Linked DNA regions of Anolis sagrei. The protein of the gene in region 2 interacts with the protein of the main gene of each other region in a pairwise test. Links are inferred from orthologs where the notes say so. Each region holds a gene or a part of one and is shown on either strand. Other genes may lie near its edges. The genes, in order: CLK2, CPSF7, ARMC7 and NCK2.

Evidence for each region.
Region 1: the proteins of CPSF7 (region 2) and CLK2 interact in binary tests that used the Homo sapiens proteins (3 or more experiments, as listed by UniProt). The link is inferred for Anolis sagrei from reciprocal best matches to the Homo sapiens genes CPSF7 and CLK2.
Region 3: the proteins of CPSF7 (region 2) and ARMC7 interact in binary tests that used the Homo sapiens proteins (3 or more experiments, as listed by UniProt). The two-hybrid records come from large-scale screens. The link is inferred for Anolis sagrei from reciprocal best matches to the Homo sapiens genes CPSF7 and ARMC7.
Region 4: the proteins of CPSF7 (region 2) and NCK2 interact in binary tests that used the Homo sapiens proteins (3 or more experiments, as listed by UniProt). The two-hybrid records come from large-scale screens. The link is inferred for Anolis sagrei from reciprocal best matches to the Homo sapiens genes CPSF7 and NCK2.

Annotation. Positions count from the first base shown.
Region 1 is NC_090032.1:7,780,388-7,787,388, reverse strand, and holds the start of CLK2 (dual specificity protein kinase CLK2), read left to right. Parts: upstream 1-4,000; 5' UTR 4,001-4,096; intron 4,097-6,889; coding exon 6,890-7,001. UniProt on the Homo sapiens protein: Dual specificity kinase acting on both serine/threonine and tyrosine-containing substrates. Phosphorylates serine- and arginine-rich (SR) proteins of the spliceosomal complex.
Region 2 is NC_090021.1:236,184,294-236,192,048, forward strand, and holds the start of CPSF7 (cleavage and polyadenylation specificity factor subunit 7), read right to left. Parts: upstream 3,021-7,755; 5' UTR 2,943-3,020; intron 2,934-2,942; exon of another isoform or gene 2,815-2,933; intron 1,217-2,814; 5' UTR 1,170-1,216; coding exon 1,116-1,169; intron 97-1,115; exon of another isoform or gene 68-96; intron 60-67; exon of another isoform or gene 1-59. Other genes in the region: SDHAF2 (succinate dehydrogenase assembly factor 2, mitochondrial), read left to right, coding at 3,142-3,162, 4,580-4,794, 7,084-7,193.
Region 3 is NC_090022.1:117,198,294-117,206,072, forward strand, and holds the start of ARMC7 (armadillo repeat-containing protein 7), read left to right. Parts: upstream 1-4,758; 5' UTR 4,759-4,860; intron 4,861-6,605; 5' UTR 6,606-6,609; coding exon 6,610-6,700; intron 6,701-6,816; coding exon 6,817-6,960; intron 6,961-7,779. UniProt on the Homo sapiens protein: As a component of the minor spliceosome, involved in the splicing of U12-type introns in pre-mRNAs.
Region 4 is NC_090023.1:106,057,089-106,063,921, forward strand, and holds the start of NCK2 (cytoplasmic protein NCK2), read left to right. Parts: upstream 1-3,812; 5' UTR 3,813-4,220; intron 4,221-6,833. UniProt on the Homo sapiens protein: Adapter protein which associates with tyrosine-phosphorylated growth factor receptors or their cellular substrates. Maintains low levels of EIF2S1 phosphorylation by promoting its dephosphorylation by PP1.

The DNA.
Region 1 (7,001 bases), on a different chromosome or scaffold from region 2:
ATTCACTTTTCCACATAATCACCAGACAATTGGATACATTTCTGCCAATGATGTACAAGTTTTCTGAAGATGAGAGTAGTCACCAATGTCTCTAAGAGCCGCCATAAGAAAGAACTCATTTGAAAGACTGTCATAATATTGGGAGGCAAGCTCCATCTGCTGGCCCTCTTGGTGAATAGTTCTCGAAGGACTTACCCCCAAAAGTATGGAAAATAAGTATATTTATTTAACAGTGTAGACCCCATCTCAAGGATGGAAATGGTGGTGGGAACATGGTCCAAAGCTGCCTCGAATTTCATTTGGGGAGAAAAGTAGGATGGAAATGAAATGATCACACCAGTAAATAAAGATGAGGGTTGAATGAAAAGTAATGCCTCCAGCTTTGTTAGCCCGAAAAAACCTACAACAACCCTTTGTTACCTGAGTTTGGATGGGAATATTTTAATAAATCAAACTCAAAAATAATCCTGAGAATGTGCTCTTTAACTACCACTATTCACTTTTCCACATAATCACCAGACAATTTGGATACATTTTGTTTTGTTTTGGGGTGTAATGTCACCTGTATGCAAATGATGTTCAACTCTATCACTCCTTCCCACCTGCTACTAAGGAGGCTGTATACCACCAAGAACTTTCTACAATTTATTATGATCCACACTGTCAAAGAAAACCTTTACCTTTACCTATTCTTGGGTATCTGAAGGCATAAAAATATCAAGAAAAGATAAACATTAACATTAAAAATAATCTAAAATACAACTTACCTGTCCGAACGCATCCCCTCCTATGAACCAGCTAGGGTGTTATGATCATCTGGGGAGGCCCTGCTCTCGGTCCTGCCTGCGTCACAAGTATGAGAGACAGGGCCTTCTCAGTGGTGGCCCCTCAGCTGTGGAACACCCTTCCTACAGAAATTAGATTGGCCCCCCTCCCTATTAGCATTTCGGAGGAAAGTGAAGACCTGGTTATTCAAGCAGGCATTTGAATAGTGTATTGAATATAGGAATATGGAACAATGGATTATGAGATTGGATCTTGATTCTACCTATGAGACGCTAATGAGATGTTATAGTTATGTTTAATTGATTGTTTATTATGTCATTTTTTAAAGTGTTTTTAAACTATTTTTATGAATTGTCGAAGGCTTTCATGGCTGGAATCACTAGGTTCTTGTGGGTTTTTTCGGGCTATAGAGCCATGTTCTAGAGGCATTTCTCCTGACGTTTCGCCTGCATCTATGGCAAGCATCCTCAGAGGTAGTGAGGTCTGTTGGAATTAGGACAATGGGTTTATATATCTGTGGAATGGCCGGGGTGGGGCAAGGAGCTCTTCCCTGCTGCAGTTAAGTGTGAATGTTTCAGCTGATTACCTTCATTAGCATTTGAAGGCCTGCCTGAGCCTGGGAAAATCTCTTGCTGGGAGGTGTTAATCTGTGCCTGGTTGTTTCCTCTCTGTTGTTTTGCTGTTGTAATTTTAGAGTTTTTTTTAATACTGGTAGCCAGATTTTGTTCATTTTCATGGTCTCTTCCTTTCTGTTGAAATTGTCCACATGCTTGTGGATTTCAATGGCTTCTCTGTGTAGTCTGACATGGTGGTTGTTGGTGTGGTCCAGCATTTCTGTGTTCTCAAATAATATGCTGTGTCCAGGCTGGTTCATCAGGTGCTCTGCTATGGCTGACTTCTCTGGTTGAAGTAGTCTGTCATGCCTTTCACGTTCCTTGATTCGTGTCTGGGCAATGCTGCGTTTGGTGGTCCCTCTGTAGACTTGTCCACAGCTGCATGGTGTACGGTAGACTCCTGCAGAGGTGAGAGGATCCCTCTTGTCCTTTGCTGAACGTAGCATTTGTTGGATTTTCTTGGTGGGTTTGTAGATTGTTTGTATGTTGTGTTTCCTCATCAGCTTCCCTATGCGGTCAGTGGTTCCCTTGATGTATGGCAGGAACACTTTTCCTCTGGGTGGATCTTCGTCTTGACTCTTGTGGCTTCTTCTCAGTTGTCTTGCAGCTCTTCTGATGTCTGAGGTGGAGTCTCCATTGGCCTGGAGAGCCCAGTTGAGGTGGTTCAGTTCATCTTGGAGGAGAAGGTGGGCTTCGCAGATTCTTTTTGCACGGTCTGCCAAGGCTTTAATGAAGCTCCACTGGCTGCCGATTTGCTACCGGACCCAATTTAAGGTGCTGGTTTTGGCCTACAAAGCCCTAAACGGCTCCGGCCCAAAATACCTTTCGGACCCATCTTGGCCTACGAGCCCACGAGGACCTTGAGATCGTCTGGGGAGGCCCTTCTCTCTATCCCGCCTGCCTCACAGGCACGTCTGGCGGGGACGAGAGAGAGGGCCTTCTCGGTGGTGGCCCCCCGGCTGTGGAACACTCTCCCTGCAGGCATCAGACAGGCGCCCTCCCTTATGTCCTTCCGAAAAAGCCTTAAGACCTGGCTGTTCGAGAAGGCATTTAATTAAGTGCTATAACAATGTGGTAAAGATGACTGGAATGGAACAAGGAATATGAGATTGGTTATGATTCTACTATGAGACGAAGCGGATTATTTAGTGTAACTTTGTAATTGTTATATTGTTAAGATGTTGTTGTAATTGCCTTTTTGTAAATTGCCTTTTTATATGTGTTGTACACCGCCATGAGTCGCCCTAAAGGGCTGAGAATGGCGGTTAACAAATGCATCAAATAAATAAATAAATAATAAATAATGGTGCTTCTTTTTTGACTTGGGTGATGGTTGGAGTTTTTATCTAGATATCTATCTGTGTGTGTGGGTTTTCTGTAGACGGTGTGACCCAATTGTTGATCTGGTTTGCGGATAACTAGGACATCTAGAAAAGGCAGTCTTCCTTCATTTTCCTTTTCCATGGTGAACTGGATGTTAGGATGGATGCTGTTAAGATGGTCCAGGAACCTGTTGAGTTCTTCTCCTCCATGGCTCCAAATGGTGAAGGTGTCATCCACATATCTGAACCATATCGTGGGCTTTTTGGTTGCTGTCTCCAGGGCTTGTTTTTCAAAGTGTTCCATGTAGAAGTTAGCTATGACCGGGCTGAGAGGGCTCCCCATAGCTACTCCATCTTTCTGTTCGTAGAATTCATTGTCCCACTGAAAGTAACTGGTGGTGAGGCAATGGTGAAACAGAGCCGTGATGTCTTCTGGGAACCTCTGGTTGATGAGTGCCATGGTGTCTGCTACCGGGACCATGGTGAATAGAGATACCACGTCGAAGCTGATCAGTTTGTCCTTGGTATTTAGCTTGAGATTGCTGATTTTTTTTCTTTCTATGAAGTGGGCTGAGTCCTTGATGTAGTGTGTAGTGAGCCCAATATGGCTTTGTAACTGTGCCGCAAGAAATTTTGCTAGGTCGTATGTGGGGGATCCAATGGCACTCACGATGGGTCTGAGTGGGGTGGAGTCCTTATGGATTTTTGGGAGTCCATAAAGCCTGGGTGGATGGGCTTCCGATTTACATAGCTGTTGTCGTATGTTTATTGAGGAGTTTTTAATCAGAGTGTTGGTTTTCCTGGTATTTTTATGAAGTTGAGCACTGAATTTTGCTATTGTATATAAATAAAGTAAGTAAGTAAATAAATAAAATATATGCCTGACATAGACATGGGCAAACTCTAGCTCTCCAGGTATTTTGTAGTTGCAGTCCATGTCTGGCTTAACATATTTGAAGCTGCAGAATATGTAGCCTTTGAGAGAAAGTTAGAAATAGTCCCGCAAGTTCGGACAGGCGTTTAGTCAGCTTTGCATCGCTCTATGTCCACAAGCCCAATACCCTCCTATCTTCACCGCTCGCTCCGCCTTCTCCCGTGACGTCACGGCGCATTCTTACGCCGGCCCCTACGTGGCGTCGTTCGCCCCGTACGTGAGCGTTTGCTGCGCATGCGCTTTGTCCTTCCATTCCCCCCCACCCGCTCCTTCAGAGCAGCCGTCTCTGGGTTTGAGGAGGGGGAGCAAAAGAAAGGCTACGGTGGCGGAGGAGGAGGCCGGAGAGGAGCGGAGGAGACGTGGCCGCCGTGGCCGCCACTGCAGCCGCCGCCAAGACGGACTTCTTGTGGGACAAGCGGACAGGGCTGGCGGCCAAGAGGGTGCGGGAGTGCGCATGCGCGGCGGAGAAGAGGGGACCCCCTGGAGTTGGGCCCATCCCCCCCTTCCCATGCCTCTTGGCTTCTTTTCATTGGTGGCATCTAAGTGGTAGTCTCCTCTGTGCTTGGGTGCAAAAGAACTATAGTAGAGATCTAATCTGGGGAAATTAACTTGCAAATGGAGATGAGTAACCTAACCAGGCCTTTTGGAAGACAGGAGGTGTAGGCCCCATCTACACTGCCATATAATATTGTTTGAATCTGCGTTATATGGTCAGTTATATGGTTAGGAAAGGCAGGGAACCAATTAATGCATTATTATAATGGGTCGTTGTAGGTTTTTTCGGGCTATATGGCCATGTTCTAGAGGCATTTTCTCCTGACGTTTCGCCTGCATCTATGGCAAGCATCCTCAGAGGTAGTGAGGTCTGTTGGAACTAGGAAAATGGGTTTATATATCTGTGGAATGACCAGGGTGGGACAAAGGACTCTTGTCTGTTGGAGCTAAGTGTGAATGTTTCAACTGAGCACCTTGATTAGCATTTGATGGCTTGGCAGTGCCTGGGGGAATCTTTTGTTGAGAGGTGATTAGCTGTCCCAGATTGTTTCCTCTCTGTTGTTTAGCTGTTGTAATTTTAGAGTTTTTTCATACTGGCAGCCAGATTTTGCTCATTTTCGTGGTTTCCTCCTTTCTGTTGAAATTGTCCCATACCTTATGTCAGTGGTTCTCAACCTTCTTAATGCTGTGACCCCTTGATACAGTTCCTCATATTGAGGTGATGCCCAACCATAACATTATTTACATTGCTACTTCATAACTATAATTTTGCTACTGTAATGAATCATAGTGTAAACATCTCATACGCAGAATGTATTTTCATTCACTGGACCAAATTTGACACACATGCCCGATACGCCCACATTTGAATACTGGTTGGATTGGGGGGGGGGGGGTAGATTTTGGGGTTAGGGTTGCTGGGATTTATAGTTCACCTACAATCAAAGAGCAGTCTGAACTCCACCAGAGAGAGAATTGGGACATACTTTCCACACAAAATACCCATGACCAACAGAAAAGGGTTTGGCATTGGCCTTGAATTTTGGAGTTGTAGTTCACCTACATCCAGAGAGCACTATGGAAAATCAGGGAAAATACACTTGCAAATGGAGATGAGTAACCTAACCAGGCCTTTTGGAAGACAGATGTAGGCCCCATCTACACTGCCATATAATATTGTTTGAATCTGCGTTATGTGGTCAGTATAGAGACTTGTTGAACCCTTAGGAAAGGCAGGTAACCAATTAATGCATTATTGTAATGGGTTGTATGGCCATGTTCTAGAGGCATTTTCTCCTGACATTTCGCCTGCATCTATGGCAAGCATCCTCAGAGGTAGTGAGGTCTGTTGGAAGTAGGAAAACGGGTTTATATATCTGTGGAATGACCAGGGCGGGACAAAGGACTCTTGTCTGCTGGAGCTAGGAGTGAATGTTTCAACTGACCACCTTGATTAGCATTTGATGGCCTGGCAGTGCCTGGGGGAACTCTCAAAAGTCAAGGTCTATTTTACCCAAACTCCACCAGTGTTCACCTTTGGGCATATGGAATTTTTGTGTCAAGTTTGGTCCAGATCCATCATTTTTTGAGTCCACAGTGCTCTCTGGATGTAGGTGAACTACAACTCCAAAACTCAAGGTCGATGCCCAGCAAACCCTTCCAGTATTTTCTTTTTTTTAAAAAATAATATTTTATTGAGTTTTCTAAAATACAGCAAAAGAGGGGGAATAATTCAAGAGGATAGAAAAGTAGGAAATTTTAGGAACCATAAGACTAAACTAACAAAGTCACACAAATCCCAAAACCGAAAATCAAAGAGAAAAGAAAAAAGAGAAAAAATCACAAAAACAAAAATTGGACTTCCTTCCAATTCTGCCCGTATAGTCACTTCTTTTAGTTCATATCTTATATATGTTCCAATTTATCTCTTCATTATATCTTCAGCACAATTATGAGTTCTTATATCTAGTTTCGATATGGTAGTCAATTATTGACCAATCTGTCTGTTTGGGTGGATTACCTGTATTCTTTTTTAATAAAAAAGTTGATGTATCCATGTCCTTAATTTCCTTCAGCTTCTTTATCCAGTGGAGTTTGTCTGGTAATTCTTTCTGCTTCCAGAATTTCGCAAAGACAATTCTAGTGGCCGTTGTCCCCCTTCCAGTATTTTCCATTGGTCATGGGACTTCTGTGTGCCAAGTTTGGTTCAATTCCATTGTTGGTGGAGTTCAGAATACTCTTTGATTGTAGGTGAACTACAAATCCCAGCAACTACAACTCCCAAATGACAAAATCAACACCCCAAAAATCCACCAGTATTCAAATTTGGGAGTATCGGATATTTGTGCCAAATTTAGTCCAGCGAATGAAAATACATCCTGCATATCTGATATTTACATTACAATTCAAAGCAGTAGCAAAATGACAGTTATGAAATAGCAATGAAAATAATGTTATGGTTGGGGATCACCACGACATGAGTAATTCTATTAAGGGGTCGCGGCATTAGGAAGGTTGAGGACCACTGGTATAGTGCAATATAGTAATATCTAATACTGATATTGTACTATGCTAATAATATAATATATTGTATGAAAACATATCTTGTAAGCCGCTCTGAGTCCCCTTCGGGGTGAGAAGGGAGGCACATAAATGCCGTAAATAAATAAAAAAAATAATGGCCACTTTGAGTTTGAAAGTGTATGCCTGTGAACTTAGACTCGTCTCCATATTTGCAGATGCCTCATTCCAGAAGGTTCCGCTCGTCGGAACGCAGCAGCCGGGGAAGCTACTACGAACGTTACAGAAGCCGCAAGCACAAGCGGAGGCGGAGCCGCTCTCGGTCAAGCA
Region 2 (7,755 bases):
CAGCCCTAATGTAAGATATGAACAAGCATTGAAGTAGAAAGCCAAATTTGCATTGTGGTACTCTTACCTGCTACTCTAAGGCATGAAAGCTAAATGCTGTAAAAGAAAACAGAGTGGTGTTGTAGTTCTGTCACTTTGTCAGCGTGGTACTATTGACAGGACAGGCTACAGCCCAACTTTACTCTAGATCAGTGGTTCTCAACCTGTGCGGTCCCCAGATGTTTTGGCCTCCAAATCCCAGCCAGTTTACCAGTCGGTAGGATTTCTGGGAGTTGAAGGCCAAAACATCTGAGGACCCACAGGTTGAGAACCACTGCTCTATACAAATAAAAACTCATGTGAAAGCTGGCCTGCTGTCATCATAGAACAAGCCTTCAAATCCATTTATGAAGCTTCATACCCAAATACAAACTGAACCAGTTTCACTTTCTTCTCAACCCACATCTAAAAAAACCTGCAGTCTTCCCTTTGACTGAGAAGTAAGGGATATCTTCAGTCCCATTGTTACATTAAAAAGATTCACCACAAGTAACAAAATCAAAACATTTATTACAAGTTGACATAACATACCATTTACAGTTCACTCACTCTACATTAACAGTAGGAGAAACCCCTCCTGAGCATCAAATCCACTGTGTAAGAAAACCAACTCTTTTGAAATGTGGTGCTTGAGAAGTCTTCTATTGATGCCAAGGACTATGAAAAAGATAAATCACTGGGTCCCAGGATAAATCAAGCTCGAACTCTCCCAAGAACCAATTAACTATTTTTATGCTCTTAGGCAAATGTAGCCAATCTTGGGGCGAATCTACAAATATCATTTAATGCAGTTTCAAATTTGTATTGAGAAACGTGGTTAAATAGGAACTCATGAAACCAGTTTGAGGTCCAAATGGCAATTAGCACAGATGAACATTAAGGGCTTTCTTTCATGAAGTTTTGTGGGTTTTTGTTGTCTGATCACTAAAGTTTGAAGGTAGCTTTGAACTGCATTAAATGATTATTGTAGACAAGTCCTCAGTATTGTTTGAAATTTCAGTTGATTCTGAATATGGCAAATTTTCCTTCTTTCTTTCCTTCCTTCTCTCCCTCGCTCCCATTTGGCAGGGGCTCACCTGGTTGAACTCCTCGTCGGCGTAGATATCTATGAGGTCCACTCCTTCCGACATATTTTCAGGAGCGCCTCTGAGGAGAACAGGGGAGGCAGAGCTGCACACTGTGCAGGGGAGAAGAGGAGGAGAGTTAGTGCTCAAAAGGCCAACACAATTCTAGGCAGCATCAATAGGATCATCGTATCTAGATCAGTGGTTCTCAACCTGTTGGACCGCAAATGTTTTGGTCTTCAACTCCCAGAAATCTGAAGAGTTTGTAAACTGGCTGGGTTTTCTGGGAGTTGTAGAGCAAACCATCTGGGAACCCACAGGTTGAGAACCACAGCTGGAGATCGAGGACTAAGAGGAACACACATCACCACCTCTACCAAATGCATAGTCCCACTCTATTTATTTATTTCCAGTATTTCTACCTCGTTCCTTCTCAACCCCTGAAGGGGGGCTCAGGACGGCTTACATTTGGCAGCAATTCGATGCCACTACATATAACAAAGCAATATAATAACAATTAAAAACAATAAATAGAACATTCATAAAAACAATAAAAACAGTATTAACAGCCATATAGTCATTCCAGTCAAATTCCATATTAAACTGCTATCTATGTCTGTTGTCCAAAAGCCTGGTCCCAGAACCACAACCCTGAAAGACAGGAGGGATGAAACTTCGGTGGGAAGTGAGTTCCACAGGTGGGGGGCCACAGCCGAGAAGGCCCTGTCTCTTGTCCCTGCCGTATTTGCCATGCTGGCAGGGGCAAGAGCAGGTCCTCCCTGGATGATCTTAAACTGTGAGGCGGGATGTAGAGGGAGATGCGTTCGGACAAGTAAGCTGGGCCAGAACCTATTCTGCTTTGGTCAGATCTCGCCTGGAATGATGTCTCCAATTCTGGGCATCACAATTCAAGGAAGATACCAAGATGCTAAAATGCATCCAGAGAAGGGAAACTAAAATGATCAATAGGTTGCTGTAAGTTTTTCGGGATGTATGGTCATGTTCAATGATCAATGGTTTGGAAGCCAAGACCAATGAGGAGCAGCCGAAGGAATTGGGTATCTTTAGCTTGGAGAAAAGAAGGTTGAGAGGAGACAAATAGTCATGTTCAAATATTTGAATGGATGTCACACTGAGGAGGAACCAAGTTTGTTTTCTGCTGCCCTGGAGACCAGGACGCAAGGGAGCAATGGACTCAACTTGCGGGGAAATTAACTCCACCTAAACATTATGAACAACTTCCTGACGGTAAAAGTGGAATACGCTGCCGCCGCAGGGTGTGGTGGAGGCATATGTAGAGGCTGGGTGGCTATCTGTTGGGGGTGCTTTAATTGTGTGGCAGGAGGAGGCTGGATTGGATGGCCCTTGGGTCTCATGAAGTTCCCCGGCCACCGTCGGACAACGATTCCGGGAGGAAGGCGGGCCCGGGAGGCTGAGGGCCCAGCGCCGGCCCCGCCCCCTCCGCTCAGCCGCGCGGCCCGGAGGGGAAGGAAGCGGGGGCGCGGGAAGGGAATGGAGGGGCGAAGAGGCCGAGCAGGCCCCCTTCCTCCTCCTCCTCCTCCCGCCGCTACTCCCACTTGCAAGCCGCCGCCGCCGAGGCCGCCATAGCTGCGCGCGCACTCCCGCTCCCTCCAGTCATGGCCTCCTTTTTTTCCCGCGCTCCCAGGGAAACCTCCCACCGCCGCCGCCTCCGACCCCTCGGAGCCGGCACCTCATCCCCTCCCGCGCGGCCGCCTCCTGCGCCTCCTCCTCCTTCACCGCCGCCGCCGCCGCCGCGCCCGTTACGCAAGGCCCAGGATCCCCAGCAGGCCCGAGACGCAAGCGGCCGTGTGCGCGAACCTCACTCTGGCTCCCTCTCTCCGTGAGCGCCTCCTGCTGCCGCCGCCGCCCCGCCCCTTCCGCCCTCCCTTCCTTCCAGGAAGGCCCGCCTCTTCCGGCCCGGCGCGCGCAACCCCATCACCACTGTCGGCTTTCCGGCTGCGCTCGCCTCTCTTTATGCTCAAGAGGGAGGGCTAGAGCGGCCGGGGAAGGCGCCAAGATGGCGGCGCTGTCAGTTCGGGTGAGTAAGCTGGACCAAGCCCGGTGTTTTATTGTTTGATTGCTCATGGATGTATTTTTTTTAATTTGATTAATGTCTAATCTATATATATATAAATGCTCTGTGCATAATGAGTTCCTTAAAAACAAAAGAACCAATGAACGAAATCACACCAAATTTGGCAACAAAACGTCTCACAACACAAGGAGTGACCATCACTCAAAAATTTATGATTTTGTCATTTGGGAGTTGGAGTTGCTGGGATTTATAGTTTACTTACAATCTCCACCAATGATGGAATTGAACCAAACGTGGCACACAGGTCTCCCATGACCAGCACAAAACACCAGAAGGATTTGGTGGCCATTGACATTTCGTTCATTGGTTTTTTGTTTTTTTGAGTTTGGAAGTTGTAGTTCACCTACATCCAGAGAGCACTGTGGACTCAAACAATGATGGATCTGGACCAAACTTGGCACAAATATTCCATATGCCCAGACATGAACACAGATGGAGTTTGGGGAAAATAGACCTTGACATTTGTGAGTTGTAGTTTATACTTCCCCTACAATCAAAGAGCATCCTGAACCCCACCAACGACAGAATTGGGGCAAACTTCCCACACAGAACCCCCAAGACCAACAGAAAATACTTAAGGCCATCCAATCCAACTCCCTTCATCAGGGCAAGAAAACATAATCAAAGTCCTCCTGACAAAGAGCCATCCAGCCATAGATATAGATAAATATATATGATTCACACACACACACACACACACACACACAGATATAGTATCATAGATTTGAAAGGGACCCCTAAAGAAGGACAGTGATATGTTGCATGTTCCAGAGTAGGCAAACCAGACAATCTCCACATCAACACTGGCAAAGAAACAACAAAAAATACTGTTTACCCACAAGCAGAAATAAATTACATATATTGGAAACCAACACTTTCTCATTACTTTATTTTCCAGATCAACAGACTAGGCCACAGCAACGCGTGGCAGGGGACAGCTAGTTGTAGTATATCATTGTAATTGTTTGTACTGACATTGAATTTTTGCCATTACTTATGCGTAAACCGCTTTGAGTCCCTGTCAGGGTGAGAAAAGCGGTATACAAATACTGTAAATAAACAAATAAATAATTGTATTGTCGAAGGCTTTCATGGCTGGAATCACTGGATTGTTGTAGGATTTTCGGGCTATGTGGCCATGTTCTAGAGGCATTCTCTCCTGACCTTTCACCTGCATCTATGGCAAGCATCCCCACTACCTCTGAGGATGCTTGCCATAGATGCAGGCGAAACGTCAGGAGAGAATGCCTCTAGAACATGGCCATATAGCCCGAAAAAACCTACAACAACCCAAATAAATAATTGTGTGGGGTGAGCGGCAGCTACCGGGCATTCACGTAGAGTTCTCCCTTCCTTGCAGCGGGTCTCCCTCTTTCTCCGGGATCGCCGCCTTCTCCTTTGCGCCCCGAGATGTGGCTACCGTGGGGACGCGCCCTCGGACTCCGGGCGGGACATGCTGGAGATCCCGCTGCCACCCTGGCAGGCCCGACCCCAGGAGGATCTCAGCACCAAGCGGGCCCGGCTCCTCTACGAGAGCCGCAAGAGGGGCATGCTGGAGAACTGCCTCCTCCTCAGGTGGGAGCCCCCACGTGGTGGAATTAACGCAGATTGGTCCCGCGCGAGCTGCCCAGGCTCAATGGTACTGAATCTTGGGATCTGTAGTTTGGTGAAGCACCAGTACTCTTTGGCAGAAAAGACTCTAGAGCAGGCATGGGCAAACTTTGGCACTCCGGGTGTTTTGGACTTCAACTCCCACAATTCCTAACAGCCGGAATCATGGGAGTTGTAGTTATGCAAAGTCTAGAGCAGGCATGGGCAAACTTTGGCCTTCCGGGTGTTTTGGACTTCAACTCCCGGTAGGCTGTTAGGAATTGTGGGAGTTGAAGTCCAAAACACCCGGAGGGCCGAAGCTTGGCCATGCCTGCTCTAGACTTTGCAAGACTCCAACTCCCATGATTCCATAGCATTGAGCCATGGTGTTGCACTGCATGAATACTGTAGTGTAGATGCACTGGTTGTTAACTATCTTCAAGTTGACATTGACCAATGACGATGTGAACGACTTCTAAGGTAAACTACCATCAAGACCTACCTTACCGGGCATCCTTCTGTTCCCCAGTTCTCATTGTCCTTCCCCACATCCCCCGATTCCTGCCTTTGAACCATATGAATACAGTGTGCCAAGGAGTTCATTTATCCCCAGTGGGAGCAGCAGCACCAGATTATTGGAGAAATCTATCCTTCTTCGAGTGGAGATGCATCTTCATAGCCCTCCTGACATGCACCAGAAATGACAAAAGATTATAAAGAGGCTCAGTTTCTATGGTTCTTTCTGTGACGCAGTGGGTTAAACCTTTGTGCCGGCAAGACTGCTCACCAAAAGGTCGGAAGTTCTAATCTGGGGAGTGGGGTGAGCTCCCATCTGTCAGCTCCAGCTTCTCATGTGAGGACATGAGAGAAGCCTCCCATAGGATGGTAAAACATCTGTGTGTCCCCGAGCAACGTCCTTGCAGATTACCAATTTTCTCACACCAGAAGCGACTTGCAGTTTCTCAAGTGACTCCTAACACAAAAATAAATAAACCCCCCCCCACACAAACGTTTGCTCACCCCCCCCCCCCCAATTTGCAATAAAACCCTTTGCTGCACCTTCTTTTGCTCTCCCTGCTTTTTAAAATTGATTTCTCTTGATTTCCCTCAAAACCTAGAATTATGTTTGTGGGAAGGTGAGAAAATGAATATAATCAGCGGAGCTTAGTTATTTTAATAAAGTAACTCACCACCCTTACATTTTCAAAGAGCATTAGATATTCACACTAAATAACCAATCTGATCTTAAAAGCTAAACTGAATCAGACTGGTTAGTGTGCCAACAAACTCACAAGTCCAGCAATGGGAGTCTGTGGGCTAGATTTCAAAGGGAGGAAACTGGCAAAACCACCTCTGAATATTCCTTGCTGAAGAAAGTCCTATAAAATTCATACCTTTGAGAGAAAAAGCAGGGTATAAATAAAGTAATATACAAACAATTCAATATTAATTAATTACTGGGCAACAAATATGTTAACAAATTTGTACTAATGCTTTATGTTAAAACTTTTTTTTTAAAAAAAAAAATAACATTATAGTCTAGTCCTGTCTGTAACCCAAAACTTCTTAAACTTTTCCATTAGTGACCGCTTTCGGCCTGAGAAATTTTTATGTGACCCTGGGTATATAGGTATATAAAATAAGCATAAAATCAAACACTAATAACAAATCAGCATTTTCAAGGCTTGCTAAACAGGATGATTTTTCTTTTTATAAAGAACAGCTGAAGCATCTTCTGCAGAGTCCACTGTAAAAACTGCACAAATACCTTCATGAAAATGTCTAAAACAGCCATCAGGTGATGTTCAAAATGTGTACTCTTACCAATTTTTTCAGGACCCCACAGTGAGCTAAGGAGACTTCGTTTAGGTTCGGGTCCCTCACTTTAAGAAGCAGTAATGAGGAGCACTTTACTGCTGAAAATACTTGGCAATTTTCACAGAAATGACCTTGTTCTTCTCAAGCAAAATCTCTGAAAATACAGCCAGTATTGTCTTAATTTCGTATCAGTCCTCTTTTTTGTGCAGCAAATTCTGTTTTTACCTGTTGTGCCTGCTATACAAAATATTCCGATTCTCTTCTTTGACTTCAGCATGTCTCCACAAAATGTTGTCCATTTTACTATCTCTTTGCAAATTTGGTTCTTAATGGCATATGAGAATGTAGAGATTTGTCTTTATTTGGTATATTGTTTGTCTATAGTTTGATCAGTTTCCTGGCTGTAGGCATATGTTTAGCAATTTCATTTACTTTGTGTCTTATTGTGTTCCCCAGTCTTTTTGCTAAAGAGAATCTGAATCAAATGAGTGAGAAACAGCTGGATCTTTATGATCGTCTGATTAATGAGCCCAGCAATGACTGGGATATCTACTACTGGGCAACAGGTAAGGTGGAATGGTGCCTTTTCTGATCATTAGATTTTTGTGAAATTTCCTGTCTCATGAAGTATTATTTTTCAGTTGTAGCTGTCAGTACATACAATACTTTTGTCTCTATTTCTTATCTGTTAACATGTTTTGGAGGTTGGGGGACATACATATGTTATCCAATTGATCGTGCCCTTTAAGATCTTTGGTATTATTTTCAGTGCTGATTGTCAGTAAATTCACTCTTTTAATTGTTGTAAATTCTCAGCATTCAAGGGTGGCTTCAGATGTCTTCAGACTTCAAGCAGATTAACTTAAATTAATGGGAACTGAAGTTAGTGATGATGAATTTGACCTATTGATTTGAGTAGATATACTACTGAAACCTAACAGAGTTTGGATTTAGTTTTACAAAAATGTGTAAGCAAGACCCATCTTATTTAGTGGTAGTTCCTCCTAATCATCCATAAGAAAGTTTGGTAACTATAGTTAGTGTTAATGAGGAGCCCCTGGTGGGGCAATGGGTTAAATCCTTGTGCCGGCAGGACTACTAGCCGACAAATCAGTGGTTCGAATCTGG
Region 3 (7,779 bases), on a different chromosome or scaffold from region 2:
TTCCCCTTACAACCTCCCTTTTCTCAGTTCTACCTCTCGCTAATATAGTTTCTTTCCTAAAATTTGTGATTAGGTATACTGATACAATTGGCATTTTTTAATGAATCTCAGTATTTGGGATTATGTACATATAGCCCTTATTAAACTATTTTATTTAAACCTTTAAGCAGGCACTATAATTTTCTAGTGTGTTAAAATGTGAAAGAGAGAAAAAAAAGGTTCACACTAAACCAGTAGGCCTCCAGATGTTTTGGACTTCAGCTCCCAGTTCCTAACAGCTGGTATGAATTTCTGGGAGCTGAAGTCCAAAACATCTGGAGGCCCAACAGTTGGGAACCACTGCACTAAACTGTAATAAAACACTGCTTCATTTGATTGCTTTACCCTCAAGCTATTAATTTGTCCATGACTTTTTTCACTTAATACATTATAGTACCAAGTTTAATCAATTCTAAGGCATTGATTGTAAGCCGCATACTAATTTCAAGGTATGATACTAAGAAAAAAGAATTTTCATAAAAGTATCTTCTAGAATTTCTACAAATTAATTCTAAGAACAAAATAAAACCCTAAAATATATCTAACAAATATTTTTATTACTCCAATAGAATTAAATTTACGAACAACAATAGGGAAACAGATTAAACATAAACAATGCACACAAAATGAAGAAGGTATGGTATTTTATTCATCTCTTGCTTCTGAATCTGTATTTGAATCTGATTCATCAGAGTCTGATTCCTCTGACCCGTCTTTAGCATAATTATTCCATTATATATTGTCTTCTGACCCATCAAGAGCATTTGTGATGCAACATTTTTTAATGAGTCCAGCACTATTCTTTTGGGATTTGCTTTCAAGCTGTTGATACCCATTCTGCCAGTTTTATTGCTGGTGCTCTCTTAATTTTTCCAGAAGGTGTCAGAGGAAGTCTGTCAGTCATCAGCCAGGATTCGTATTCCTTTCTCAAATTATCCTTAAATGGTTTGTGGACTGAAATGTTGAGTGGCTGCAGTTGGATATTCATGCCATTAGGAATCACAATTAACTCACCACCCTTTTGCCTGGTTTTGTTTTTGACCTGGTTGGACAAATGTCCATGAAATGCATCAAGTATTTGAATGCTAGGTGGGTTATGAAGATTTCCAGGACGCCTCTCCCACACAACACTTAGCTGGTCTTTCATAAGCTCTGCTGTCACCCATCTATTTCTCTTGAACATACAATAACATCTTTGGGGAAAATCTTCTTTGTATGTTTTTCTGATTTAAAATTAAGTATGGTGGCAACTTTCTACCATTGGCAGTGATACACAGCATCACAGTGATACGCTGCTTTTCATAGCCAGGACTTGTAGTGTGGATATCTTTAGCACCTTCCGCATTGATGGTGTAATTTTGAGGGATATCAAAGAAGACTGGAGTTTCATCAGCATTTCCAATTTGACTGAACTCATATTTTCTTTGTTTCCTTAATTCAATCACATATTGCTGAAAGTTGATCAGCTTCTGTTGAAAGTCTGCAGGATTCTTTTGACAGACAGATGTTCATCAAGGGTAACTCGCTACGACAAGCGAGTCTCTCACACCAGCCCTGGCGGTCTTTAAAGATTCTGTCATCTAGTCTGAGGGACTTGAGAATTTCTATGGCTTTCAATTGCATGGTTTGTCAAGTGATTGGTAATCCTTTTGTGCTTGTCTGCTGTACAAAATGTATCACAGCTTCATCAAATTGTGGAAACCTTCCTTTTTTAGGTCCTATAAAGCACTTAGTTGATACTTTGCCCAAAAATATGGAATTGCGAGCATTTCTCCTGAGACAAACATTTACCTCACTTATATAAAAATGTTGACCTGTAGCTCTATTTCCATGCTTTTCTGCATATTCAATAACTTTTTGTTTGAATGTGGCTTCGTAGTGCAATCTTTTTGACATTTTGATGTGCAATAAGGGATCACAACAAGTGAAACACAGATCTGGGAACTTAACTTTTTACGTAGGTGGTTTTGGAGATAAAATCAAAACTTGTTCGATAATAGTGGCTGCATACTTATGAAGAGTGCTACTTTGTTCAAAATGGGCTTGTGAAAGCATTATCTGTGAAATTTGGACATGCCTTTCTGCCTAAGGTGGGTTGCCTGCCTAAAAATAAAATGTGTGCTCCATCAACAAAGTGCAGTAAAAGTATTTTTTATAAACGTGATTTTAAGATGCACCTGCGATGATAAGATGCATGATTTTGAAGACCACTATATGGAAAAAAAATTCACCTTACAATCAATGAAATACAGTAATTCATTTGTGTTACCAATTGGGTTTCAAACAGTGATTAAAAATACATGTACAAGAATCAGAATTTCTTGATTCTGAAACTCAAAGCAGTGAGTACACTAACATGTCTGTCCTTCTGTCTCTATTAATGAAGAAAAACACAATCAGCCCTTCATATGAATTACGTAGAATAGCGAACACTTGACAACCTGTAATCGGTATTTTGAGTCCCGCTCCAGAATTCATGTCCTTCCAGACAAATCACTTTCTCCAAGAAAATATCTTCTTCATTAGGATGTGACCTGCTGAACTGTACAAGCAATGAAGGCCAAAGCTCCTAGGTACCAGGAGTAATGAGAAAAGCCACCCACTCTGTCTAGGCAGCTCTCCTTTAGGGGCAAAGGCTGGCTAGGATGCACTTCTCTTCTTTGGCAGCTCAGCCAGTTGTTGCTGGCGCCTCTGCAGCACCTCCTGGCGCTTCTCCTCATAATACTGGAACTCCTGGGAACGAAGCTCCTCTATCTCAGGGAAAAAACTCCGTCTGTAAAAAACAGGCACACAGAGAGAGTTTGGTTAAAGAAACTAAGCACCCAGGGGCCTATTCCGCTCAAACGGAAACTCTTCTGAATTCATCACTATTCACCGCCATACTGCTATACGAGCACCAATAACGCTTAGCACTGAAGAGCTGAGAATGCTGGTTAACTGAGGGCCCATCCACACAGCCCTATAACCTAGCATATCAAGACAGAAAATCCCACAATATTTGCTTTGAATTGGGTTATCTGAGTCCACACTGCCATATAACCCAGTCCAAAGTGGATAATGTAGGATTTTATACAGCTGTGTGGAAGGAGCCTGAGTCCCTACTGTATTATTAGTATTGCTGCTGCACAAACTCTCTCCCTCATACGAAATGCTTCTGCTCTATAAAGGAGCCTTGAGGCACAGCTTTGAAATACAATGGGCCCTCAGGATGTCAAAAAGACATGAAAGTTCACATTCTATTATTCACAATTAAATTTACCTGGGAATTTTCAGATACTGTTTATATTTAATCCTGTTGTAATGCGTGTATATTTGTACTATTTTTTGAGCCCCTGGTGGCGCAGTGGGTTAAACCGCTGAGCTGCTGAACTTGCTGGCTGAAAGGTCGCCAGTTTGAATCCAAGGAGCGGGGTGAGCTCCCACTGTTACCCCAACTTCTACCAACCTAGCAGTTCAAAAACATGCAAATGTAAGTAGATCAATAGGTACCACTGGCACAAAGGTAACCCCGCTTCATTCAGTCATGCCAGCCACATGACCTTGGAGGTGTCTACGGACAACGCCAGCTCTTCAGCTTAGAAATGGAGATGAGCACCACCCCTCGGGGTTGGACACGATTAGATTTAATGTCAGGGGAAATTTTTACCTTTTATTTGTATATTTTAAATTTTAAATGGTTATGCTAATGCTTTTATATTAAGCCGCTTTGAGACCTCTTTGCAGGAGATAAAGCAGGAAATAATAATAATAATAATGTGCAATAAAATAGTGTCCCTTATGTAAAATCAAGGGTTGCTCTTCTCTTCTTTTTCATCTTTTAAAGATATTGTCAAACTGTGAGTGGTTGGATTCATGGACACAGAATCCGGTGGCACATTAATGAGCAACCCATTTAATGTCACACAAAGCCTGGCACAGGATTTCTGGTATGCTGGAGGTGGATGAAGTTGTACAACATGGGTGCCTCAAGGCCAGGACTGGGCAAACTTGGGCCCTCCCTCCAGGTGTTTTGGACTTCAACTCCCACCATTACAAACAGCCTCAAGCCCATTCCTTTTCTCCCTCTGCCGCTTAAGCTAAAAGGAAGGAAAGAAAAAGGAAGGGCCCTGAGGCCATTAGGAATTGTGGGCGTTGAAGTCCAAAACACCTGGAGGGAGGGCCCAAGTTTGCCCAGGCCTGCTCTACGGTCTACGCTGTAGAATGAACGCAGTTTGACACCACTTGAACTGCCATGGCTCAATGCTATGGGGTCCTGGGATGTGTAGTTTGGAAAAGCACCATCCCTCCTGGGCAGTGAAGGGTGAAGACCTTGTAAAACTACAACTCCCATGATTATCTCGCCATTGCAGTACATGTGGGATCACTACATTAGATGCAGGCAGTGCGTGGGGCGACTATAAGGAGAGGCCTGGCCCGGGCCGCACTGCTGCAACGGGACATGGCCGCCCCAGGGGTTTTGCTTGAACCCGGCAGCAGCCCGCCCGTCCGCGTCTCCGCACCTGAACACGAAGGCGGTGGCCAGGGCACACAGGATGCTCCCGAACAACAACGGCTTGGGCAGGCCCTTCTTCGCCATGGCCGAGAGCAAGCTGGTCGCGAAGGGTAAACAGAATCCGCTCCGCCCTTTACGGCCCTCGGAGGCTTCCGTAGCCGACCCTCTCAAGGCGGGAAGGAACGGGATTGCTTTTGCCCTTACAGAAGCCTTTCCGCCCGTTGTCAAACGTCACTTCCTGCTTCTGCTTCATGCTTTCCTCCCTCTCCTTTTCGGCTCTTGTTAGGCATCAAGGAAACCGAAGGGGATGCTGTCGCTTTCCTTGGCTGGTAAGTGAACTCAAAAACAATCCTTCTTCCTATGGTACATGATCCAGTGGTTCTCAACCAGTGGGTCCCCAGATGTTTTGGCCTTCAACTCCCAGAAACCCTAACAGCTGGTAAACTGGCTGGGATTTCTGGGAGTTGTAGGCCAAAACACCTGGGGACACACAGGCTGAGAACCACTTAGTTCTTAGGATAAGTTAAAATACTGTATGTATTCTCGGGTCAGGCTGTATTGTTTGGGTTCTTTGCATGTCATATCCTTTGATGAAGAAGGAAAGGAGAGGAATGGAGAATGCGATAAAACGTGCCCTGGTGGTGTTTTTTCTCAAATTTCATTCAATATTTTGTTTCCCATTGCTAAGTTTGAAATGTTATTTTTCTTGAACATGTTGTTTTAAATATATTTATTTGCCACATTTATATACCGCCTTTCTCAGCCCAGAGGCAACTCAGGGCGGTTCACAACTGGCAACAATTTGATGCCTCAACAATTATAACAATTAAAACAACAATAAAATAATGTTAAAAACATTTAGCATAAAATATAGGAATATTTTTAAAAACCGTACAAAGCCTTAAGAAACCTTAATAAAGCCTTAGGGATTTATAGGCGTTAATCTATAAATCCCTAAACGACTCCTGCCCCGTTTACCTGTCTGAACGTATTCTCCCCTATGAACCATCAAGATTGTTAAGATCTTCTGGAGGGGCCCAGCTCTTGGTCCCACCAGTCTCACAAGCGCGCCTGGTAGGGACAAGTGACAGGGCCTTCTCGGTGGTGGCCCCTCGGCTCTGGAACCCCCCCCCCCACTGGAGATTAGAACTGCCCCTTCTCTCCTGACTTTTAGAAAACAGGTGAAAACCTGGCTCTGGAAACTGGCATTTGAGTCAATAACTCATGGCTATATGGATGGATGGTGATGAACAACAATTTTATTGTGACAACTTGGCCATTGTAATTATATGATTGTATTTTGGTATTTTAATGTGTTAGTGTGATGTTTTTAAACGATTGCTTGTGATATTATTGTCGGAAACCGGCCTGAGTCCCTCCACAGAGGTGAGAAGACCGGTATACAAAAGTTCTAAATAAATAAATAAATATTAACAGTACTAGAAAGTTTTCTCTAACAAAGGATAAAAATGTAAAAATGTATATAGAATCAATAAAGCTGAAGTAACACTTCAGTGTAAGTAAATCTGAATAACTGCTGCTTCTAATAATAATAATAATAATAATAATAATATTCTTTGAGTGTACCAGGACTGTGACACAGCTGGCTGGAAGTCATCTGCATTGAGATCACTACTGACCAAAAGGTCATGAGTTCGAAGCCAGCCCGGGTCAGAGTGAGCTCCCGACCAATTTGTGTAGCTTGCTGTCAACCTTTGCAGCTTGAAAGAGTTGCATTTTTCAAGTAGGAAATTTAGGTACCGCTTATGCGGAGAGGCTAATTTACAATGCCATATACATCCCCAGCAAGCATGCAAAGAATGAGAAAGTACTTCATCAGTGTCACAAATGGATGGTGAAGCAACAGCTCCCCTGGTTGCCAGAATACCCTCATAAAGCTGAAAGGTTAAATGGCCTCTGTGTCTGTCTATATATGTTGTGTGTCTATGGCATTGAATGTTTGCTGTGTATATGTACATTGTAATCCGCCTTGAGTCCCCTGCGGGGTGAGAAGGGTGGAATATAAATACTGTAAATAAATTAAATAAATAAATAAAATTGTCTTCTCCATCAGCACTATGTCTGAAAAACAGAAGGACTTGCTAGGCCTGGATCGACTGGAATACCTGCAAGCATTGGTCACCGAGTTCCAAGTGTCAGAAAGTTCTGGTGAGGAGAACCTACTCATCTCTTCCTCTTTGGCTCTGGGTTTCTGAATGCCTTGCTCCTCTCCATCGATTGTTTCCTCATCTTAAGGCATGCATTTTTTTTTTATTATATTGCAGAAGCCAAGGAGCAAGTGCTGGCCAATCTAGCTAACTTTGCTTATGACCCCAAGAATTATGTATACCTCCGGCAACTGAAGGTTCTGGACCTCTTCCTGGATATGCTCACTGAGGACAATGAAACCCTTGTGGAATTTGCACTTGGTAAAGTGTGGGTTTAAACTAATCCTTGCTGGAAATGAGCCACAATTTATAAACTCCTAGCCCACAGGAAACTCACCTCTGCCCTTGGAATCAGATTCCCTAATTGATTTAGCAATAGATAGAGGTGCCATAAAGTCAGCCAGGGACTCAGGACAGAAGGCTGAGTTCAGAAAGGTTAAATAATTCCACTTGAAGCTATTTTTACCTGTTTGAAAACATGTCAGCATGGCTATAGGGCAGTAGTTACGATTGTAGGCAGGGAAGTTTTATTATACAGGGTGTTTCAAAATGTCAAAGTAATATAGTTCATGTTGGCAACATGGTACAATGACATAAAAAGTTACCAACGGGTTGATGAGTTATCAAGTTTTACTAACCATTTTTAGCCAGAAACAAATTTAAAACTCTAACTCATTTAGTGGAGAATATCTCAGTGGTTCCCAAACTTTTTTTTGACCAGGAACCACTTTGATCAGGGACCACACTCCAACATTAGTACTAAAAGGGTTATGAATCAGTTTTTGGTCAACTTTAGATTTGGTTTGGTTCTAGTTTCTGATACAGAACATATGCCATCCAGTAGTCGCTATCTGCTTGCCCAAAAAAAATCCATATTTAATAAGCCTCGGTACTATTAAGAGGGTTTTGCGAGACCAGTCGCTCCCATTTCAACGGTGTGGTAATGGTGAGACAGTAAACCATATTTTAGTTCTTGCGTGCCACTGGTGATCCACGGACCACAGGTTGGGAACCACTGCATTAGATCTTACATCGCAAGCTCACCATCTTGCGAATGAATGAGGCTAGGAGCTGTTTTTG
Region 4 (6,833 bases), on a different chromosome or scaffold from region 2:
CGCTTCCTATTCTAACCGAACCAGCATGTTAACTGCAGAGAAGATTTTAAATTCAAACAGGACATAATTCAGGACATAATTCAAAGCTGAGAACGTTTTTTTGTTTCTTTCTTTTGATGTGGTTTTGCTTATTTTCTTTCTCATTTGCTTTTTAGAAATACTGATGGATGTCATGCAAAATAACAATAAAAATTTATAGCGGAGGTGGCTGCATGCTAATCTCTGGGGTCCCCATGAATCTTGGCACCATCAAATAAAATTTTCTAACAACAACTTTTGATTTCAGCTTAAATCTGTTGTTAAAATAATAAATATTTTAAAAGAAAGGACATAACAAAGCAAAGGGAGAACTGGACACCCCTTCTATCTCAATGGACCCAAATAGCCATGGCTGTGCCTTGTGTCAAAATAACTCACTGCGCAGATCTTCAAAGGCATGAAGAATGCTGAAGGTGGCCAAAGGAGATTCAGGTCAGCTTCACAAGTTCCTTGGTTAGCTTTGAAAATTTGAGCTATGGTTTACCTTAGCTTCCCCAGATTTCCCAATTGTTCTTCTCTTCTATTTTTTTGGTTATGTATTTAATGTTCCTCCATCTACCTGTTCCCTCAATCTCTCTCTCTCTCATCCTGCCCAAAGCTCTGGTAATGAAGGGAGTGAGAAAAACCAGTATGGAACCAGTGAGACAGCCTTACTTATCGGAATGGGCAGGATCCTTCCACCAGCCATTGCACATCACAATAGGAAAAAAATAGTTCCTGGCTGTAGTGCTCAATGCATGCAAATGTGCTCCTTGTAAATCCTTGCTCACATAATACAGGCCAAGCATTCTTTATCCAGAAATACAAAATGCTCCAAAATCCAATGATGAATTGGCCCCCAATGCTTAACCAGGGATCATCCAGATGAGCGCTTCCCAGACTTAGTCCTCCATTATCTTTAGACCTTTGCTTCCAGAATTCCTGACTTTTGGCCAAGCTGGCTGGGGCTTTAGGGAGGTGAAGTCCAAAAAAAGATGGAGGACCTAAATTGGGGAAATATTAGTCCAGACTAACATGGCCATGGCTGTGTTTACACTGCAGAATTATAGCCGTGTGACAACTTGAACTGCCATGCTATGTCATTTTGGGATGCGTAGTTTTGTGTGATATTTACCTCTGATTGAAAGCTCTGATGCCACAACAAACTACAAATCCCAGAGTTTACAAGATGGATTCATGACAGTTAAACTAGCATCAATCTGTTATAATTCTGCAGTGTGGATGGTTCCCAGCAATCCCCATACCTTTTCAGTCATGGAACCCTGTTGAAGACAACTACATTCTGTGGAACCCTAACTCATCCCTGATTTGTTTAATCAAAATATATATTCTGGTTAATTTTACGCTAATTGAAATACGTTTATCAAGTTCATATATAAACTCTAGTTTGGGAGCAAATTTTACTCTTGATGTTTTATGAATAATATCCCAAATGTCTTTTATTTTTCAGAATATTTAGTCCAGATTTTTGACTAGGACCAACTTTGTGGCACAATTACAGGGCAAATGGATCTTGTAGCACCTTTGAGATTCACTGAAAGAAAGAAGTTGGTAGTGTAAGATTTCATAGATTTTTATCTACTCTATCAGTTGCATGAAGTGAAGGAACTGACAACTGGAAACAAGAGGAGAAAGTCTAGCAGAGTATTCAGCGATGCAATTTTGTGCCTGATACTATAGCCTTCTGTAGTGTCAAAAACAAAACAAAACAAAACACTAGAGTATTTTTTTTTCAGTGCTCCAACGTGTTAGGGAGGACAGGACTGCATATTCCATATTTCTTTCACAATATTGCTGTTCCGTATTTCTGTTCCACATTTCTTTTACAATATTGTTCATTACTAGTGTCTATAATTGCATTAATATTAGTTTATTGATATGTACACTTTCAATTCTTTATTAAATAAATAGAAGTGAAAACCTAATAGGTAAAAAAATTGAACCAAACCACCCAAATACAAGTTGAACATCCTTTACAGGGACAGATATTCCAAAACCAAAAAACTTCTAGATACAACTTGTACTGTTACACACTGTTAAGGTAAAGTAAAGGTTTCCCCTTGACATTAAGTCTAGTCAAATCTGACTCTGGGGGGTGGTGCTTTTCTCCATTTCTAAGCTGAAGAGCAGGTGTGTTATTTATCTGTTTGCGTATTTACAATAATAAAACCTTAATTTATTTTATTCTGAAAAAAAGTATTCAAAACAAAACAAAACTATCACGATACAAAAAGAAGCAAAGGTTTTTATAAGATACATTACTGAAACTGCAGCTGGGGGAAATGGCATTGAATATTTGCCATTAGTATGTTGTAAACCGCTTTGAGTTCCCCCAGGGGTGAGAAAGGTGGTATACTAATAGAGTAAACAAACAAACCACATTTTGGCACCACTTTCATGACCATGGCTGAATGCTATGCAATCCTAGGAGTTGTAGTTTGGTGAGGAACCAGCACTCTTTGTCAGAGAGGGCTTAAGACCTGTACAACTATAACTCCCAGCACTCCACAGCGTTGAGCCATGGCATTTAGAGTGGTGCCAGAAGGCAGCATCCACTCTTGGGCACAGGAGAGACGCATCCTCCTGTTCGGGCTTTTCTTCCTCCCTGATGGGCGGCTTCGGGAAGGCGGTACTTCCACCTGGGACGTCACGGCGGCCACCCAATCGGCTTCCTCGGAGCCCCTGACGCGTTCCTGAAAGTTCCCTTTCCTCTCGGGTGGCCCTTCTGGGAACGGGAGACGGGTTCTATTTTTAGCCGGGGGGAGGGGAGGGGGGGAGGGAGAAACAAAGGAGGGCCACTCCACCCTAGCCTGGACCGGGCATCCGAGGTGAAGCCCCCCGCGAAGCCCTTTCGCCCTGCCAAGGAGGAGATTCACCTGGCAATACCCAAAAAACAGTGATCTTTAAAAAGTTGCATCTACACTGTAGAACTATTGCGGGTTGGAACCCCTTAGAAGCCCAATGCCTCAAAGCTGTGGGATCCTGGCAGCTGTAGTCCTACGCGCTCTTTACCGAAGAGGAGGGGCGCCCCGTAAAACTAGATCTCTCTTGGCACTGAGTCCACGTTAAGCTGCATTCCTTCTATGTTGCCGATGCGGCCTAAGCCTCGCGAGCGTTCCCTGTCCGAAGCCTGAAAAGAAGCGTTCTTTGAGCGCACAAAAACAGCCGGGAAAAGGCCTCACAACCTCTGAGGATGCTTGCCATAGATGTGGGCGAAACGTCAGGAGAGAATGCTTCTGGAATGTGGCCACACAGCCCGGAAAACTTACAGTGATTTTGAACCATGAAAGCCTTCGACAACACTAGTCGAAAAAGAGTTGCTGCCTTCCTAGAATCATAGAATCCTAGAGTTGGAAGAGACCTCATGGGCCACCCAGTCCAACCCCATTCTGCCAAGAAGCAGGAATATTGCATTCAAAGCACCCCTGGCAGAGGGCCACCCAGTCTCTGCTTAAAAGCTTCCATAGAAGGAGCCTCCACCACACTCCCTCCGGGGCAGAGAGTTCCACTGCTGAACGGCTCTCAGGAAGTTCTTCCTCATGTTCAGATGGAATAGTCTGAAACTTGGAGAGAAGAGGGGCGCCTACTCGAGATGTCCCACGTCAGGCCACCAAAGCGGGCCGGGGGCTGGTGCCACCTCAGGCCGGGAACCTCCTCGTCACACTAAGGAGGGAGGGAGTGTAGGCGTGCCCCAAGTGAAGGCCGGCCCTGTCCCTTCCTCCATTGGGGAGGAGGAGGAGGAGGAGAGGGCTGGGCCCCGCCTTTCCCTCCCACTTTCTGAGGGAAGCCGAGGAGGAGGAGGAGGAGGCTGGCGATCCTGGGCCTCCCGTCGCCGCCTTCCCCGAGCGGCAGGAAGGGAGGGAGGGAAGGAAGGAAGGAGGGCCCTGACTGCCGCCTGGGTGGAAGGGGAGGGGCCGGAGCCGTTGCCGCGGGGCTGAGGCGGAGGGAGCTGCCGTTGGGCCTTAGGCGCGCCGAGCGACGGAGAGGAGGAGGAAGGAGAAGCGAAGGGAGGCGGAGGAGGAGACCCCCCTCTCTCTCCCTCTCTCTCCCTCCGCCGACGCCGCGGAGACAAAAGAGCCAGCGAGGGAGGGCAGCCTCCTCTCCTCCCTCGGCCCCCCCTCCTGCCATTCTCCTCCTCCTTCTTCCTAGGGAGCCCACAGAGAGGACAGCCCGCGTCCCAGGTAGGAAAGAAACGCCAAGGGGAGAGGAAGGGGGCCGCCAACTTGTGGAGTTGCCGAGGGGGAAGCAAGGCACGCAGGCAGGAGGGAAAGAAGAAAGAAAGGAAGGCGCCCTCTCGTCCCGGGCCTGGCCTAGCCAGCGCGCCCGGGTGGAAGAGCCAGGCAGGCAGGCAGGCAGGAAAGAGCCGCCCTTCCCTCTCCCAACACTCCAAGCTTTGGCTTCTTTTCCCAGGGAGGAACAACCCGCCCCCCCCCTTTCTCGAAAAACCTAAATCAGGAGATCCCCCCCTTTTGTTATAGATCACCCCCACGTTTTCTTTACCGATTCTCTCCCCACTCCATTTTAACCCCCCTTTTTCCCTTCCATTTCTGGAGCGTGAGAGGGAAACTATTGTTTCAGAGGGCTGGCTGCCTCTTTCCTCCCAAGAAAGGAGTTGGGAGGGAAAGGAAGAGAAGGAAGGGAAGGAGAGGAGGGAAGGAAAGGAAGGGGGAAGGGAAAGTAAAGAAGGGAAATGAAGGAAAGAAGGAAGGCTGAAGAGGGAAATGAAGGGAAGGAAGGAAGGAGTGGAAGAATGGATGAAGGGAAAGGATGGAAGGAAGGAAAGGGAAGGAAAAAGAGGAGGGAAGGAAGGGGTTTGTTGTTGTTGCTGCTGCTTTTTTTCTTTACAGAAATGATAAAAGGGAGAGAACTGTTCCAAAGGGATCCTGGTCTCTTCCCCTAATCCTGGAAATTTCCCCAACCGAAGTGGGTGGCCAAGGGGTTTGGTCCCCTCGGGGAAGAAAGCAGGAAGGGGCCAAAGGCTTTGGTCTTTCCCCCCAGGGCCCCTTCAGCTGTGGAGATTTCCTGTTTGTGTGTACAGGGAAGGGGACTGAAGTCCGTATTTCTGGGCTCCATTGTGGAGGGAGGGGTTTTTTTGGTGGGGGAAGTGGCAAGGAGGAGGGTTTTGGGGGCGTGAGTGGGAGCCATCCGGAGGGAGGACTGGAAGGCTGTGCCCACCCACCCCATCCAACCTTGCCCCCCTTTGGGGTTTGGAGGAAAGATGGAGCAGCACTGGCACATGATCCTGGGTTATTACATGTTTTTATTTTTTTCCCCCTTGGCCAGACAGCTGCTGGATTGTATCAGGGTGGGGAAGGGAGGCATCTCAGCAGGATCCGTGTCTAAAGAGGGCCATGCTCCTCCCTTGTTGTTTTCTTACATCTGTGAAATACCATCCCTGACCTATCTTTCCTGGTGGTTGTTCTAAAGCGCTCTGTAAATGATGCGTGTTGCTATTATCTTGGGCAGAAAAGCACCTCCTGTTTTTATAATCAGATCTGATCTCTTTCTCTGGGTGAATGAGAATTATTGTGACTTAAGTTAGAAATTTTAGGGGGCAGAAAACATTAACCACTCTTCTCTTCCATGTGTTAACTTTGTGTCCAGAGTATCCCCCTGGATCTCCTTACTTCCCTGAAATCTGTGTTCTTTGTTAGTTTCTCACCTCGAACCATTTCCAATTTGATGCAGAGGTGAGCCCAGGTGTGCTCTGCAGGAAGGTGCAGCCAATCGGGACTTCTTGACCAGCCCACCTGTATGATGTACCTGCCCACTGCATCCACACCTGAAATCTTTTCTTTCTGATACAGGGTGATTGAGGGTTGTGGAACCTTCTAAGATACTGAGGGAGGCAGGGATTTTCAGTGCTGGCAGTTTCCTCTCTCTCTAATGATGTACATTGCTGCATGTTCAAATCCCAGTTTCCAGGAGAATGGTGGCATCATTTTAGTATCATGTGGGCTGCTTTCTCTACCATTTAAACACAAGAATAGTGACATCAGACACATCCCTTGCTGCACATCAGGCTTCCTGGACTCACCTTCCTCTTATGATATTTTTTTTTTGTTTTTAGCTGCCATCAAGTTCACTTTGAATTAAGGCAACCCATGAGTGAGATACCTCCAATATCAATAGCCCTGCTCAGGTTTTGCAGGTTCAGAACTGGCACTTCCTGGTTGAGTCCATCTTTCTGAAATAAGGTCATCCTCTTTTACTAGTGCCTTCTACCTTACTAAGCATTGTTTTTCTTTTCTATTGAATCATGTTTTCTCATGATACGGCCAAAGTATGACAGTCTTTGTTGTCTTCTGGGGAGAGTTGAGGCTTCCTTTGTTTAGAACCCTTTTTTGGACTTGTTTAGTACTTCATATCATTATTCCTTTTCAATATGGGTTCTGGACCTTTGCTAGAAGTTGAAGTGAGGAGAAAGGAATACCACAGACTTGACTTTGAAAGATATGTAATTGGGCCCCTGAACCATTTCATGAAATGAACATTACCAAAGTAGATCTGTTTCTCTTCTTTCCACTGTGCCTGTGTCCATCACGGAGAGGGATTTTTTTTTAAAGCAGTGATTTTGGGGAAATAATAATAAAAAAAAATAATACACTTTATTTATATTCCACCCTTCTCCCCTAGGGAACTTTGAGCGGATTACAGCATCTACATACATAGGCAAACATACACATATATATACTCACATGAGTGGATGCTGATTGTTTTCCTGGATCGTGGAAGGGCTAATGTGAATAAATACTGCAGCACTGAAGAGTATATCCCCTTCATAACCTTTAGAT